Struthio camelus: one gene and its partner. The protein of the gene in region 2 purifies or fractionates together with the protein of the main gene of each other region. This does not show direct contact. Links are inferred from orthologs where the notes say so. Each region holds a gene or a part of one and is shown on either strand. Other genes may lie near its edges.

Region 1 (7,376 bases), on a different chromosome or scaffold from region 2:
GGGCAGCAGACACAAATTGCACCAAAGGAAATTCCAATTAGATACTAGGGGGGAAAAAAATCACAGTGAGGGTGGCCAAACACTGGAAAAGGGATGAGAGGTTGCGGAACCTCCATTCTTGGGAATACTTAACACTTGACTGAGCAACCTATCTATCTCTTCTTATGGATGCACCACATTAAATTAAACCTGCGTAGTGACATAAAAGTGGTGGTAAAAAATGGCGGTCACTGTCAGTGCCTTATCTTCACTAGTGCTCCTGCTGGTGAAATTGCACTGGTGCTAGCAATACTGAAAGGTTTTCAGCGAAGGAGATTATCGTAGAGAAGATTTCTCATTTTGCAGGCAATGCATTATTTCGCTGCTAATCAAAACAAGACAAAAAAGGCAGATGGTTACATTATGAAATGTTCACACACTAATCGTGGGTAGTTTAATAGACTAGGGGAGAGGGAAGAGGCTCTCTAAGCCTAACCGCTCTTCCTCCAATAGCATCACTTAGCGCAGAATGCATTTTGTGTCACATGGCAGGGAATCGCTGTGCATCTTTACTGCAGTCATCATATAACTGCTCCCTCATCGAAATACATTTCTTCCTTCTCTACACACAATATTATAAATTGTTTATAATTCGTGTAACATTAAAATTTTCTGTTGCGTAGATGTCTTCTGCAAGACTTTCCTCTGCCCCCCTTAAACTTAAGAAAGAATGGAGATAGATTAATTTATTAAAAGAGCAAACAAGCAGGTGTTTCTGAGGATGTTTATCTTTACACATAGTCTAAATTTAAGTTTATCTTGAGAGTTACTTGTCACTAAAAGCAATGTTTTAGCATTATTGGTAGTATTATTATTATGATGTTGATATTATTATTGTGGTATTACTGCTTTAATCATCATTAAAGCAATTTTTTTTTTGAAACAAAAAACCCCTCACCCCTCTAGCTCCACGTCTCTTTCTTTACAGGTTGTACAAACTGCTTCCATAGTAAAATGAAAAAACAAAAAACCATTGTCATGACAACAGCTAAACAGAACAAATAAGACAACAGGTAAGCTTGTCTGATTTTCATATTTTCATTCTGTATCACAAGCAGGAGCAAAAATCTTCCAACCTCATACTTGAAACTGTAGAGAGCACCTTAGTTTTGTATTTTCTCTCTCTTTCCATGTTATTATTCTTTGAGGCTAACAGGAAAGAGAGCAAGACTGACAGATTATCATCTGAACATTTAATAGGCTGAGTGAAAACTCTAATTTTCAAAAGACCAAAATATTTTCTTTTTGCAAAAATAGAAAAACCACTTTTGGTTAGACAGGAGTCTTCCTAGACTGAAGCTGGAAGACTTTCACCTGGTGATTGGCTCCATGGATAAATTTACCTCAGGCCCCGTTGCAAGTGTAGCTTGGCATTAGAATAACTAAAGCAAGAGCTGTTCACAACAACATTAACGAAACACTTACAGATATATCTTTATTTTGTTATTTAATGTTCCCTTTTTGAAATGTGGCAAATGATCTTTAACAGATAATTGGAATAGAATACTGCAATTCAGCCCAGATATTGCAAGCTTCAGACCATATGCAAAAAAGGGGCAAACGCTGATACTCCTATCCTTTCTTGTTCTGATCTCAATTTGGCTGGATTTTCTCTTTTGTATGTGTGTCTTCATAGCCTACCTCTTGTACTTTTATTTCCTGTAGATCTGATAGACAATTTTTAGAAGAAGCAACCAGCAATCACACTAGAAATGGCCTCTGTGATTGTCTTCCATTATGATTTCTTCCATTTTTTCTTCCATTAAAATACCTAATCATTTTTGAGCTTTTAAACTTGGCTTTCAATAATGCCTTGTAGCTGAAATTATATGACAAGACAAAACAACTTTTTATTTTGAGGCTGCTCCAGCTGCTTTCATCTGATGCCTGTTCTTATATTAGAAGAAGCAGTGAAAAATCTTTCCCTACTCTCTTTATCTATGCTGGTCGCGATGCCCCTCTTTTCCTGGCTAAAGACTCCTACTTTATATAATCATTCCATACATTTAGTAATCCTGTTTCCATAATTCCTTTAGAGTTGTAAACTAAAATGACCTAAAGCAGTCTAAAAGCAACTTTGGTTAAGCTTTTGCAACTTTGTGCATAGAGAAGCGCTTAGAATGTCTGAAGCAAATATTTGAGCCTCACGATGTATAAATACCTGAGTAATGCACAACTCGAGAATAACTTAATGAAAGCAGAACGCTTGATACTTTCTGTTCTGAAGCATCCTTTGATGTTTCCTTAGGTAGAGGACAACAGCAAGTGCTAGATCATTTTAAATGGTACCACAGCCTATCTTGTCTCCTCCCTCTAAAAGGAAAGAGCAGAACCAAGCTTTTTTATTCAAATTTCTTAGAAGGGGTTCTGATGTGATGCTAAGATTTAATTGAGCCAAAAAACTCCTTTTTTGGACATGGAATCAATATATCTCAACTAATGAAGAATCATTGAGAACTTCCTTTTAATACTGATGTTCTCTCATTATACCGTAATGGCTACCGGTTGCCAAAAGTTAAATTATGAGAGTACGTGGCTCTTGGATTCCATGAAAGGCATGGAATGTAAAGTGTAAACAGATATATTGTGCATTAAATAAATGATATAGTGTGGTGAATTAGAATTAAGTGCTTCGGAATATAAGGGAAACGTGGTAAACGTGCTTTAACGATGGGGCCTTACGGCCTCAAGGGAAGGTCAGTCAATAGCTGGAGGGCAGAAAGAGGCAGCAATTCCAATCTTCAGGATTTGAGAAACCACATTTGACACGTACAGCAAACGCTGTATTACCACACCTTGTGACCCAAGGGGTGGCAAAACGCTTCTTAAAACCTGGCGAGCAGAACCTCGGGGAAATCGTTTTGCCGGTGACCCAGGCAGCAAGGAGGCCGCGCTCCGCAGGTGCCGGAGCCAGACCGTGACGGCACAGGCGCGGGTCCGGGCTGCTGTGCATCGAGCGATTTACCGGGCTCGCGTAGCTCCCGGCTGGCCCCCGCGCTGCTGCCGGCAGCCCGCGGACCTGCTCTCGCCTCCGCCGGCGCCGAGGGCCGCAGAGCCGCCGCCCCGGGCCGCGGCCGCCCCCGCGGGACCCGAGCGGCGGCCCCCCGGGGCAGGCGCGAACAAAAGGCTGGTGGGGCGCGGCGCGGCCACAGCCGTCACGTCATGCGGCGCGGAGTCGCCGCGGCCCGGCGCGGCCGCGCACCTGCGGCGGGGGGCCGCCGGCTCCACCCAGCGCCGAGGCCCGCGGCGGCGTTTGTAGCTCGGGCGAGTCGCTGGCGCGGAGCCAGGCGCCGGTGGCGAGCGATGGGTGTTGCCCGCTCCCGAGGGAGGGCGCGGAGCGGCGGCACGGCTCGTGGCCGCAAGGGGATGGCGGCGATGGCCGCCGCCGCCGGGCAGGGCCCCGTCTCCGCGCCGCCCGCGGGGAAGGGAAGGGAAGGGAAAGGAAGGGGCGCGGGGGATCCGTGCGGCCCGGCCCGGCCCCACTCACCGAAGCTGGGGCGGACGCTGGCGATCTCAGCCATGGTAGAGCCAGGCCGGCGCGGTGGGGATGCGGGATCCGGTGCGGAGGCGCCGCGGCGGCGGCAGCAGCAGCAGCAGCCCCCCCCCCCCGCCCTGAGGATGCTCCGCGCCCGGGATGCAGGAGCTGCCGACTGGTCCCGAGGCAGCGCAGGCCCCGCCCGGCCTCAGGCGCCGCCCCGCGCCCCGCCCCGCCCCGCCGTGACTCGGCAAGTGTCGGCGGCCCCGGTCCCCGCCGCGCCGCGGGAGCGGGGCCGGGCAGCCGGCGGCGACCACCCCGCTCCCGGCCCGCCGCGGGGGGTAGTGGTCAGGGCGTGTGTGCGGTGGGGAGCGGCAGCGGCCCCCCTGCGCGGCAGTACGCTGCCGCCGAGTCGGGAGCGCCGGGTGGTTCCGCCCCCGCCCGGGGTGATAGCGGCGGCGGCGGCGGCGGTGGCGGGGGGGGGGGGAAGGAGGCTGGAGTCACCGGGGGGGAGGCCTGGCCGCTGCCCGCGGAGCCCGCCTAGGCGCCAAGATGGCGGCGCGGCCGCCTCCTCCCCCTCCCCCCTCCCCCGCTACTCCAACATGGCGGCCGCCCGTCCCGCGCCCCAGCCGACATGGCGGCGCGGCGCGTGCGCAGCGCGCCCGGCCTGAGGGCGCTTCCGCTTCCTGCGGAGGGAGCGGGACGCGGCGGCGGGGCCCGGCCGGCGGCGGTCGGCGGCGGCCCCCCCCCCCCCCTCCCCCGGCCTGCGAGCAGCCGCTCTCGCTGTCTTCCAGGCCGCCCGGGAGCGGGATGTCGCTCTCGTTGAAGACGTTGCCCTGCAAGAAGAGGAAAGCGGCGGTGGCGGGCCCGCAGAGCCCGCGGGAACCGGGCTGCGCCGGCGAGGCGCCGGCTCCCGCCGACGGCGGCTCCTCCGATGGCGACCCCGCCGCCAGAGGCTCGCCGGCCGGCGCGAAGGCGCGGCGGGAGCCGGCGGAGACCTTCCTCAAGGGCGGGAAGCGGCCGGCGGCGAGGGCAGCGCCGGGTGCCGGCCAGGAGGGCGCCGACGGTCGCCAGGCCGCAGCAGAGGCTCTGCCTCCGCCCGAGCCTGCTGACGACGGTAAAGCTCTCGAGCTGCCTCCCGCAACGCTTCTCGCGCCGCCCGTACGCGAGGCCTCGCGAAACGCCTTTCGGAAACGCCTAGACGGGCCGGTCGCCGGCCTCGGCCTGGCGCTGGGACTTCTGCTCGGCGCTGAGGGGGAGTTTCGCCAGCTGGTTCACGCCAGGCATCTCGAGCGTGTTTTTTTTTTTTGTCGCTCTGAAGCGTTGACGTTGGCAAACGCTCCGTTTTTAGAGGTTGTTTTCCTCCCTATAAATCGCAGAAAGCTTAAGGAGCACTTAGGATGCCTGTCTTTAGCCCGGCCAAGCGCTGAACGCTTTAGAAGTAGTTTCTTTCTGATTTCGCGTTTGTTATACTTGGCTTGAGCGAAACGCTCAGTTTTCCAGCCCTTACACAGAGCTTCCTGGTTTTGCCCTTGTTGGGGTTAATCTGTGGACTCTACGTAGCGATCAGTCGTAATAATAACGTTCATAAATGTATGTCGTAGCATTGTCTTGGGCAGGATATTTCACTCTTGATTAGTCTGCAGACAAGCCTTTGTAAATACCGGCTTTGATTTGAAATGGCTTTCGTTTAGTTTTTAAACTTAAACGTTTTGCTAGCGATACGTAAAGACTGGTGAAGGTGCAAGCTGCTTTTTCCGAAAATACTGTTTGCGGACTCTTGTGCGTATGTTTTCATTCGCAGAAGATCAGATTTCACAATGCTTGAAAGAATTATCTAGAGTGGCGCTCGTATGGGACCCTGCTGTGATCCTTTACAAGAGCCAGTTTAAGCGGGGCTTTTGTTAGCAGAAAGTTACCCGTTTGTTGCAGAACGTAGGTATTCTGGAAGTGCTGCGTTGATGTGAAAAGCCTGGGTAAACCTTCCTTAGGGGTTCAGCCAGTGAAGCTGTGATATGGGAGCTCACGGGAAGGAGACGGGAGGAGCGTTCGTGAGCAAAACGAAGCCGGTTTTGTAGGTCCAGTCGTGTTCAAGTCCGCTGAAAGAAGTGGTTGGTCCCTCTCTTTCCCCGAACTGCGTGTTCTTCTGCTCCTCTTTGGCTGGTGTGCGTGTTTGTCTCTGCGTACAGCGAGTTTGGAGACTTGATCTAGCCAGAAGCGTGTGTGCAGGGGGAGTTGTTGTTTCTTCCTCCCCGTCTGGATGGGCTCACTCGTCTGCTTGACTGCCCAGCTCAGGGATTTGATGAAAGCCCTTTTGTGTAAGGGGAGGGGGCTGGAGCAGTGGTCGTTTTTCTGTCAGGCCTACATAACCTCTAGGACTGTGCAGAATAGGAGTGGGGAGGGTGTGTAGCTACCCCTTTCAGCAGTAGGGTACTCTTAAATTAGCCTAAGGTGGCCATGAGACTGCATCCTAAGGCTGCAGTCAAGTATGCTGTTCTGGTTGCAAATAAAGTATCTGAGTAAAGGAATGCCTGCCCCTAGCCGTTCATTTCTGTAGCTGCAATTCTGTTTATACAACAGGGAACGTGACCACGCTTTAAACAAATCATTGCTTTTTTAATGATTAGATCACTTTACAGCTAGGATTTTGAGCCTACCTATGCGAAATTGATGAACCAGATAATGGAGGGAGCAAGACTGAAATAGCTGGAGCCCAGGGTCTCTTAACCTGTGTTTGTTTCCATCAGAATATTAGCATGGGACCGCTGCTGAAACGTTTCGCTTATCTGAATTGCTTTGCTAGGGAGCCCTACTTGCGCAGTTGATTTAACAGATTTGAATCGGCCACAATAAATTTTTGTACTGTAGCTTCATGTGGTAAGCTCTTAACCTTGCTCAGCTGTGTCTGTATGGCATGTCTAACTGAAAGCTGGTGTATACTGTTTACAGGGAAAACGCCTAAACAGCATACAGAGGAGGAAGTAGTTTTGCAGAGAGATCCACATCCGACTGACAGCCGTTCTGCAGGGCAGGAGTCTCCACTGAGACATTCTTTGCAACTGGCGGCTCAAAATCCTGCCACGATGAAGCCACTGAAGAACACCAGAGCTGGTGAGTGGCCCCAGCAGACTGATGAGGAAAATGAGGATGTTGGGCTGTTTATTCCATTGGGTAAGCTTTGTGCAAGGAACAGACCTGTGACTTTACTGTAGTAGATACGGAACTTGGAAGCATCTACACCATGACAAGGGGCTGTTTAAGTGCAACGGTTTCTGACGTTTTCATACTGTGTTCTGTAATACAGTGGCTAAATAAGCTTCAGGTATCCAGATGAAACTTGCTGGAGTTGATCTCTGTAATTTTCAGTCACTGAAAACACCGTTGTCCTTTAGAGGAAGTTCTGATTCCTTCTTTGCCCTGAGTCAGCAAAACACTGCCACTTGGGACCCCCTTTAAGTCCCAGAAACTGCAATCTGTTTTTGCTTCATGGTGTCTGAATTTTTGCAACTGTTTTAAGCTTGACTCGCTACTTAAAACATCTGGAAAAGGGTTGAAAGAGCATCTCCGCTCTAGCGGAGGTGTCAAATACGTAACGTTTGTGTGCTTGACTAATGTGACTCATTCAGATCCTGCAGAATTTGAATCCTCTGTGTCTAGTCTTTGTGGCCACTTCCATGTGGAAGGTTTCGTTATCAGCTGTTGGAAAGCTGCTGCCACTTTAGTATCTACAGAATTCCAGCTCTTTTTTAGTCTCATACTGTCTGAATGTGCTGGATGTGAAGTATCTGAATTTTTAGATTTAATTTTTATTGTTAATTTTCAGAAGAGCAAGATGGAGAGGATATTGAGAGGAGGAAGAAGA
Region 2 (6,501 bases):
AATCAAAGACTAAGCTGTGACAGCACTAAAGAAAATAATGTACGTTCAGTAGTTATAGAACTTGCATAATCCTTTGAATACTATTTGGGCCTGTTCACTCATCAGAAAGACTGCCACGAGGGAGCTGAATAAGGCTCCTAATACAGGGGATCTTCATAGTAAAGTTCCAGGGACACTATGTTCATCATAGGTCTCAGGTAAAGAATTAAGTTTGAAGTATCAGACCTAAATTTGCCATCAGCCAGTAATTAATTATGATGGGAAGTAAGTGGGTGGCTCGTTTATCCCTGGATAGTTATAATCTGAGACAGTCATTGGTATACGATAGCTAATCAACTTTGAGCTAAACTTGAAGAGGGAAAAACAGGGGTTGTTTATGCCTTTTTCTATAACTGTTGGCTCTTTCCTTGTACTACAGTTCAGAGTTGACATGTCCAGTTCCATTTGCAGACTCTCTCTCCAGAGCTCCTGCGTTACAGTGCCTTGTAGGAACACGGACATGGCATCTTACTGGGGTATCGTTTTGGAAATGAAGCATTGTTTATTCTCGAGGCAGCGTCCACTGAACGTAACAGCCAATAAATACAGTTAACTTAAAGGACCCAAAGGACTTTGGGGAGCAGCGCTTGTATTTACAGTACTTTTGATCGCAGTGGAGCGGGGTGGCGTAGGAGTTTCAGTGTAGGAGTTTCACTCCGTTATTGCCGGGGCCCCCAGCCAGCCTGGCTCTCCCCCCCCCCCCCCAGCCCCCCGCGTGGAGGCCGGGGCACCCAGGCCCGCCCCCCGCGGCTGCAGGCGGAGGAAGTACGTGGGGCGAGCGCAGGAAGCCCCCCGGCGGCCGGAAGGGCGGCGCGGCGCGGACCATGGCGCCGCCTCCGGGCGCGGCGGCGGGCCGCGGTGGCGCCCCTTCCCCCCCCCCCCCCCCCCCCCCGCGGATCGCAGCTCTCTCGCTGAGCAATGTGGGTGGCCCTGAAAAGGGCCTTTGTGTGGTGTCGGTGGGGCTCGGCCGCCCGCCCTAGTACTCCTGCGACTGCTGCCCGCCGCCCTTCTTGCCGGCCTTGGCGGGGCCCGCGCCGCCGCCGCCCGTCTTCTTGGGCAGCAGCACGGCCTGGATGTTGGGCAGCACGCCGCCCTGCGCGATGGTGACGCCGCCCAGCAGCTTGTTGAGCTCCTCGTCGTTGCGCACCGCCAGCTGCAGGTGGCGGGGGATGATGCGCGTCTTCTTGTTGTCGCGGGCCGCGTTGCCCGCCAGCTCCAGGATCTCGGCCGTCAGGTACTCCAGCACGGCCGCCAGGTACACGGGCGCGCCGGCCCCCACCCGCTCCGCGTAGTGCCCGCGCCGCAGCAGCCGGTGCACGCGCCCCACGGGGAACTGCAGCCCGGCCCGCGACGAGCGAGACTTGGCCTTAGCCCGGGCCTTACCGCCGCTCTTGCCACGGCCAGACATGGCGCCTCGCTACGCTGTCGCCTCGCACCCTCCGCGCAGCAGCTGCGTCGCGAAACGGGGCGGCGGGCCCCTCACCCAGCCTCTTTATAGCCTCTGGCAAAGGAGGGCCAAGCTCATTGGACAGCGTCGCCGCGCCTCGCCGTTGGTGCGTCGCCTGGAAGAACCTTTGTGCTGACTGGTCGGTTTTGCCATCTGACCGCGCTCGCCTCGAGTCCATTGGCGACTGCGACAGGCCAATAAGGAGGCAGGGCGCCAAATTCATACCGTGCGGGGCGGTTGGGGCGCGCCGCTGGGGGAGGGGTGCGGCGCGCTGTGGTAGGGAGCGGAGCGGCGCGGCGGCGGCGGCGGCGGCGGCGGCCCCGGCCCGGCGGTGCGGCTCTCGCTGTCTGCCGCGGGGCTGCCGTTTCCCCCGGCGGGGGGCAGCTCCTGCCGCGAGAGCTCCTCGGCCGCGCCGACTGTATCGCAGAGAGCCGCTTGCGCCTCTGGACAGCCCTGAGGCAGCAAAAGCATTTACACACGAGTGACAGTACCCCTGAGAGGAGAAACATCAGGTTTATTTTGGTCAGCTCTGACTGTGGCACGTTGCCTGCAGGTAACAGTTCTAGATCAGTGCCAGATAACAAGCTTTAACTGTGTTGCCTGCTAGGTTATGTAAGGGCTAGTCACAGTACCCCAAAGGGCTAGAGGAACGACAACAGGTGGGGGACCCCAGTGACCCCATCAGCATGGTGCTGCCCTAGCTAGGCTGCTCCTGGGACCCTCCAGGGAGGTGGTTGGCCTCAGGGCCTGGGCCCCCTCTGGCAGGGGCACCTCCGGGGTGAGCTGGGCGCTCCCAAGATGCCCGCAGACTGAGGGTCCCTGCCTGCAGGGGTATGGGGCTCACAGTGGGGTACCATGAAAGACCATTGGGGGAACGTGCAAAGCTTACTGTGTGATCCTTTCAGGGGATTGTGGGAATGCGTGAGACTTATTACGAGTTGTTTAGCGGAAGATCCGGGAAGGGAGGCGTTACAGGGGATTGGGAGATAGGAGCACGAGAAAATACAAGGTAGGAAGTGGGGAATGCTGTGCGTACGTATGTTGCTGGTTGGTAGGTTTGGTAGACCGTGGTCTGTCCTGTCCTCTTAGTAAAGCATTTCTCGCTTTTTTTGCGGTGAAGGGACGCTCTATTCTGTGTGCACGTGTATGCATGGAGGTCTAAGTGCCAGCACCTGGAGTTGGACCACCGTCCAAAGAGGCCCATGAGTCTGTGGTACCAGCAACTGGGGGGGACTGGAGTATGTGCAGGTTGTAGGTGAGTGGCTATGTCAGATTGTGTAATTGCTAGCGGACATCAAGTCGCACTAGCCAGCAAGCAATATGCTTCAGAGCCAGGTATCCAGGATCAGATACTACAGGGACCAGGGTCGGCCAGTTACCTACTGGAGGTGGGTCCAAGCCAGCCGCTGGAAAAATCGAGGCGGGGCGAGGAGGGTGTCTTAAGAGTCAGCTACTGGGAAGGCCGTCAGTCTGGACCAGCTACCAGAAAGATCTACTTGTGTGTGTCTGTGTGTGAGGTCAGAATACAAGCAGCTGGAGTGGGGCTGCTGGCCTGAAGGATTCACGTACCCTGCTGCCAGCAACTGGGGAGACCAAGGAGTCCAGGGGCCGGCTACTGGCCAGAATATCTAAGGCCAGCTACTGAAGGGATCCATAGTGTGTGTAGATACATATGTATATATATGAATACATTCTACTAGCAGACTGCTATCCTGACCAGCTGGTCAGGAGGATTTAGGCTACTCGTATCTTTCACGTTTGAGTGCTTTGTTGATCTGTGTGGCTGGTCATATGCATTTGTACCTACTGGGAACTCATTCTTAGCCTCGCTACTGGCTGGACCTGGGGCCATCGAGATGCAGCGACCTTGTATCTATTAGGCTACCAGATTTGGCAACTTTTAATGTCACCCATCTCGGTGTCCGTATCTTTGTAGTTGTATTGTTCTGCTTTTCATTCCCATCAGTCTCGTGCAGAATCTTTAACCTACTGCTGAGGCTCCAGTGGTTCTCATGTGTTGTTCTGTCAGGTAGGCAGCAATTCTGTGGTGAACTATGATGCCAGAAAATGCTATACGTGTAAATAACTGCAGCCTGCAGGATCTCGGTCCCAGATTAATACAAGGCTTTATTGATGTCCCTGTGCGATGAAAGGACATGGAGACCCTTACTCTGCTAGCCTTAGAAGTGTCCTACTCCAGGAAGGAAGACAGATGATAAAGCCGTTCAGAAGTTAAAGCCCTCTAAAAAAAGAGCCTGGAATATTCCCAGTTGCTGTGAAAAAGGAGGCAGTCTACTGTAGAAATTAACAGCCCCCAGCAGGGCAAAACCCACAGGAACGTATCACGCCATCTGGTTTCCCTGTATGTCAGTATTCTTCCTGTGACAAAGCACTGAAGGGGAAACCGTACCATAAGTTATTTTATTCTCAGAGTGCTCTGAGTTTTGGGTATGACTTATAGCACGTTATTCTATGTTCATGGACCAAAGATAGGACTGGCATAGACAAGAGGGGATTCTGGTTTACTTGTTCTGCTATACAGAGTCCCACAGAAACTGAAGTTGCTGTTTTATCTTTCAGGGAATAGTAACATGCTTATTTCTATATAGAGCTTTCATCTCTTCCACTTTCCCTAAGTACTCTGAGTAGATGATCTGGGTCATGTATGTTCCCCTATGGAAGGTATTCCCAATAACAATGATATTCAAGTAGCATTGAATCTCTTCTGTCAGCAGAATCAGACAAACACCTTCTTGTGCACAAAAACAAGATCACGGTTCAAGACTGGCCGGTGCAGAGTCGTTGCTTGCATCTTAAAAGGAGTCCTGAGGTTCTCACAGGGCCAGTATAAGATCATTCTAAACGTTTGGTCAGCAGTCGGAGAAAGTAAAAGAGCGACTGGAAGGTGCAAATCTTTCCCCTGCTCCTGGCAACCCAATCAGACATCGTAGAACAAGCGCACTAGCTGGTATCGGATTGAAAATGCAATTGTGCTGCCCAGGACCTAGGTAAAAACAAGAAAGACGTTTGAAATCTTACAGCGGTAGATATTTTACAGGCTGGCAGATTCTTCTTTTCCAGATGGATTTCTGGTGCTGTCAGACATGGTTTATTTCACTAAATGACAATATCTCAGTTAAAATATTTAGGTGTCACAAGATGAAAAGTAGAAGTTTGGCCAAAGTTCTCAGTTCTCTGCATCAGAATCATAACTATCCATGGGGGAATTGGGTATGTGCCTGTGCACGTTCACATTGTCAGACGATGCAGAGGTGATGAACAGCTGAGAATAACTCTTTCCTCCTTAATGAGCCTGTCTTTCAGTGTAACCCTATTGTTTGTAATGGGAAGTGCCTCATCTCAAAGCTATAATTCAGCAGCCTTTCAAACAGTCACTATCTAAACTTCTCTGCCGTGACTGGGATCAAGATGTATGTACTTCCTATCCTCTTCCATCCCTGAGGTAGTCTGCCTAAGCCCTGTTCAGTCTCCAGGCTTGTTTGTTGGAAGTCTTCCTCCTCAATTTGAATTTGCCTAAGTGTCTCTTCTCTTTTCTGATGAGACACTCTCATATAAGATGTATGAAAAAAGAATTTTATTATGGGTAACTAAGCGATACAGGCCCCTCTAAAAATAGAGGGCCTATAATATCAGGCAAGGGAGTTCACATGCTGAATAGAGGTAGCAGACAGCAGTATCTGTGAAGTATGTTACCTTTGTACTCTAAGTTGCTTCGGAAAGCTACCGCATCCTGCTCAGACTCCATATATATCATTAAGATACATACCAAACCTATGCAAGGCTACTAGCTGGAGGTAACGCTGGTACTGTGTTATTTGGTATGGTTAAAAACCAGAAACATGAAAAAGGCTGTATTAGGTCAGACTGACAAGGCAAGCACACAGTGATACTTTTCCTACTGTTTTTTCCGGCATCTGGCGATTTGTGCTTTGGGGAATCATTGGGACTTTGTTAGCTCTCAATGAGCAAAGTCGAGGGCAGGGAGGGGAATCTATTTCCTCTTTCAGCTATGGTAAACTTTGAATTCTCCTCAGGTTCCACAGCTCATTTGCTGCTTGTATGAAAGTATGACATTTTTCTCCCCCCATTCACCGTGACGCTCTTAAGACTGACTTGGATCTGTTTCTGTTGCAGAGTACATCTTTCTACCTGAAAGATCATGTGTCTGACCTGGATGAGTAGCAACAGGAGAGTGAGAATTTGCTCGTGGGTGGGTCCAGTCAGCTTTATAACAAAGTTAATAAGTGTCATATTATTGCACTCGGTGTATTCGCCATCTTCATCCATTCCACTCCTCACATCTACTATGTGCAAGATCTTTACGGCCTGGGGAAAGAAATATCATCGCATGCTATTTCACCAGGTATGTTTGCTGCTCACCATTTGGTGTTGCCTAGGATCCCTTTTGCTGTGCCCTCCCAGTGGGGTTTGACTCATGCTCTTACTGAAAAAACAGGACAGGCTTATGAGGGTCCTGGGACAACTACTAGGGTATGGTTACTTTAAAAGACCATTATTAATATGACTGAGTGTCCATGAGGGACAGTGACAGGATTAACGAGACTGTCTTCTTCTGGAGTTGAGCTAGGAATTAACCACTGTATTCAGAAGTTCTGCCTTGCCTCCCATCCTCTTCCTCTTCCATTTGATCATTACCTCAGAACATGTCTAGATTTCACTTGTCTTTCTCATATTACCTTCAGAATGTATGTTCCCAGGGCTGAGAGGCTCTTAGTTTTGAATTTGGAATAGCTCATCTCCAACTTCCCTGTACTAGGATTGAGCCTAAAAGAAACATTAAAATTTTAGGAGCAAGAAGATAGAATGGTCCCTGTGTAATCTGATGTCGATTGCTACCTGGGTAGTTCAGAAGTCAGGCCGGGGGGGGGACACAGAAATGATCTGATATACATAACAGCACCTGCTGATATGGTCCCTCAGATCAGGCAAAGTTGAGAGAAGATTCCTTTCCCCCCCCACTTCCCCCAAATGTC

Evidence for each region.
Region 1: the proteins of H2AX (region 2) and GON-4-like protein purify together in Homo sapiens (affinity purification with mass spectrometry; 3 studies listed by BioGRID and IntAct, counting the BioPlex papers as one, with this or other methods). This does not show direct contact. The link is inferred for Struthio camelus from reciprocal best matches to the Homo sapiens genes H2AX and GON4L.

What each region holds. Positions count from the first base shown.
Region 1 is NC_090971.1:4,005,339-4,012,714, forward strand, and holds the start of GON-4-like protein, read left to right. Parts: upstream 1-4,286; 5' UTR 4,287-4,324; coding exon 4,325-4,631; intron 4,632-6,463; coding exon 6,464-6,685; intron 6,686-7,337; coding exon 7,338-7,376. Other genes in the region: SYT11 (synaptotagmin-11), read right to left, coding at 3,527-3,560. UniProt on the Homo sapiens protein: Has transcriptional repressor activity, probably as part of a complex with YY1, SIN3A and HDAC1. Required for B cell lymphopoiesis.
Region 2 is NC_090963.1:90,405-96,905, reverse strand, and holds H2AX (histone H2AX), read right to left. Parts: upstream 1,563-6,501; 5' UTR 1,448-1,562; coding exon 1,016-1,447; 3' UTR 519-1,015; downstream 1-518. Other genes in the region: DPAGT1 (UDP-N-acetylglucosamine--dolichyl-phosphate N-acetylglucosaminephosphotransferase), read right to left, coding at 4,425-4,490, 5,678-5,833, 6,205-6,292. UniProt on the Homo sapiens protein: Variant histone H2A which replaces conventional H2A in a subset of nucleosomes. Nucleosomes wrap and compact DNA into chromatin, limiting DNA accessibility to the cellular machineries which require DNA as a template.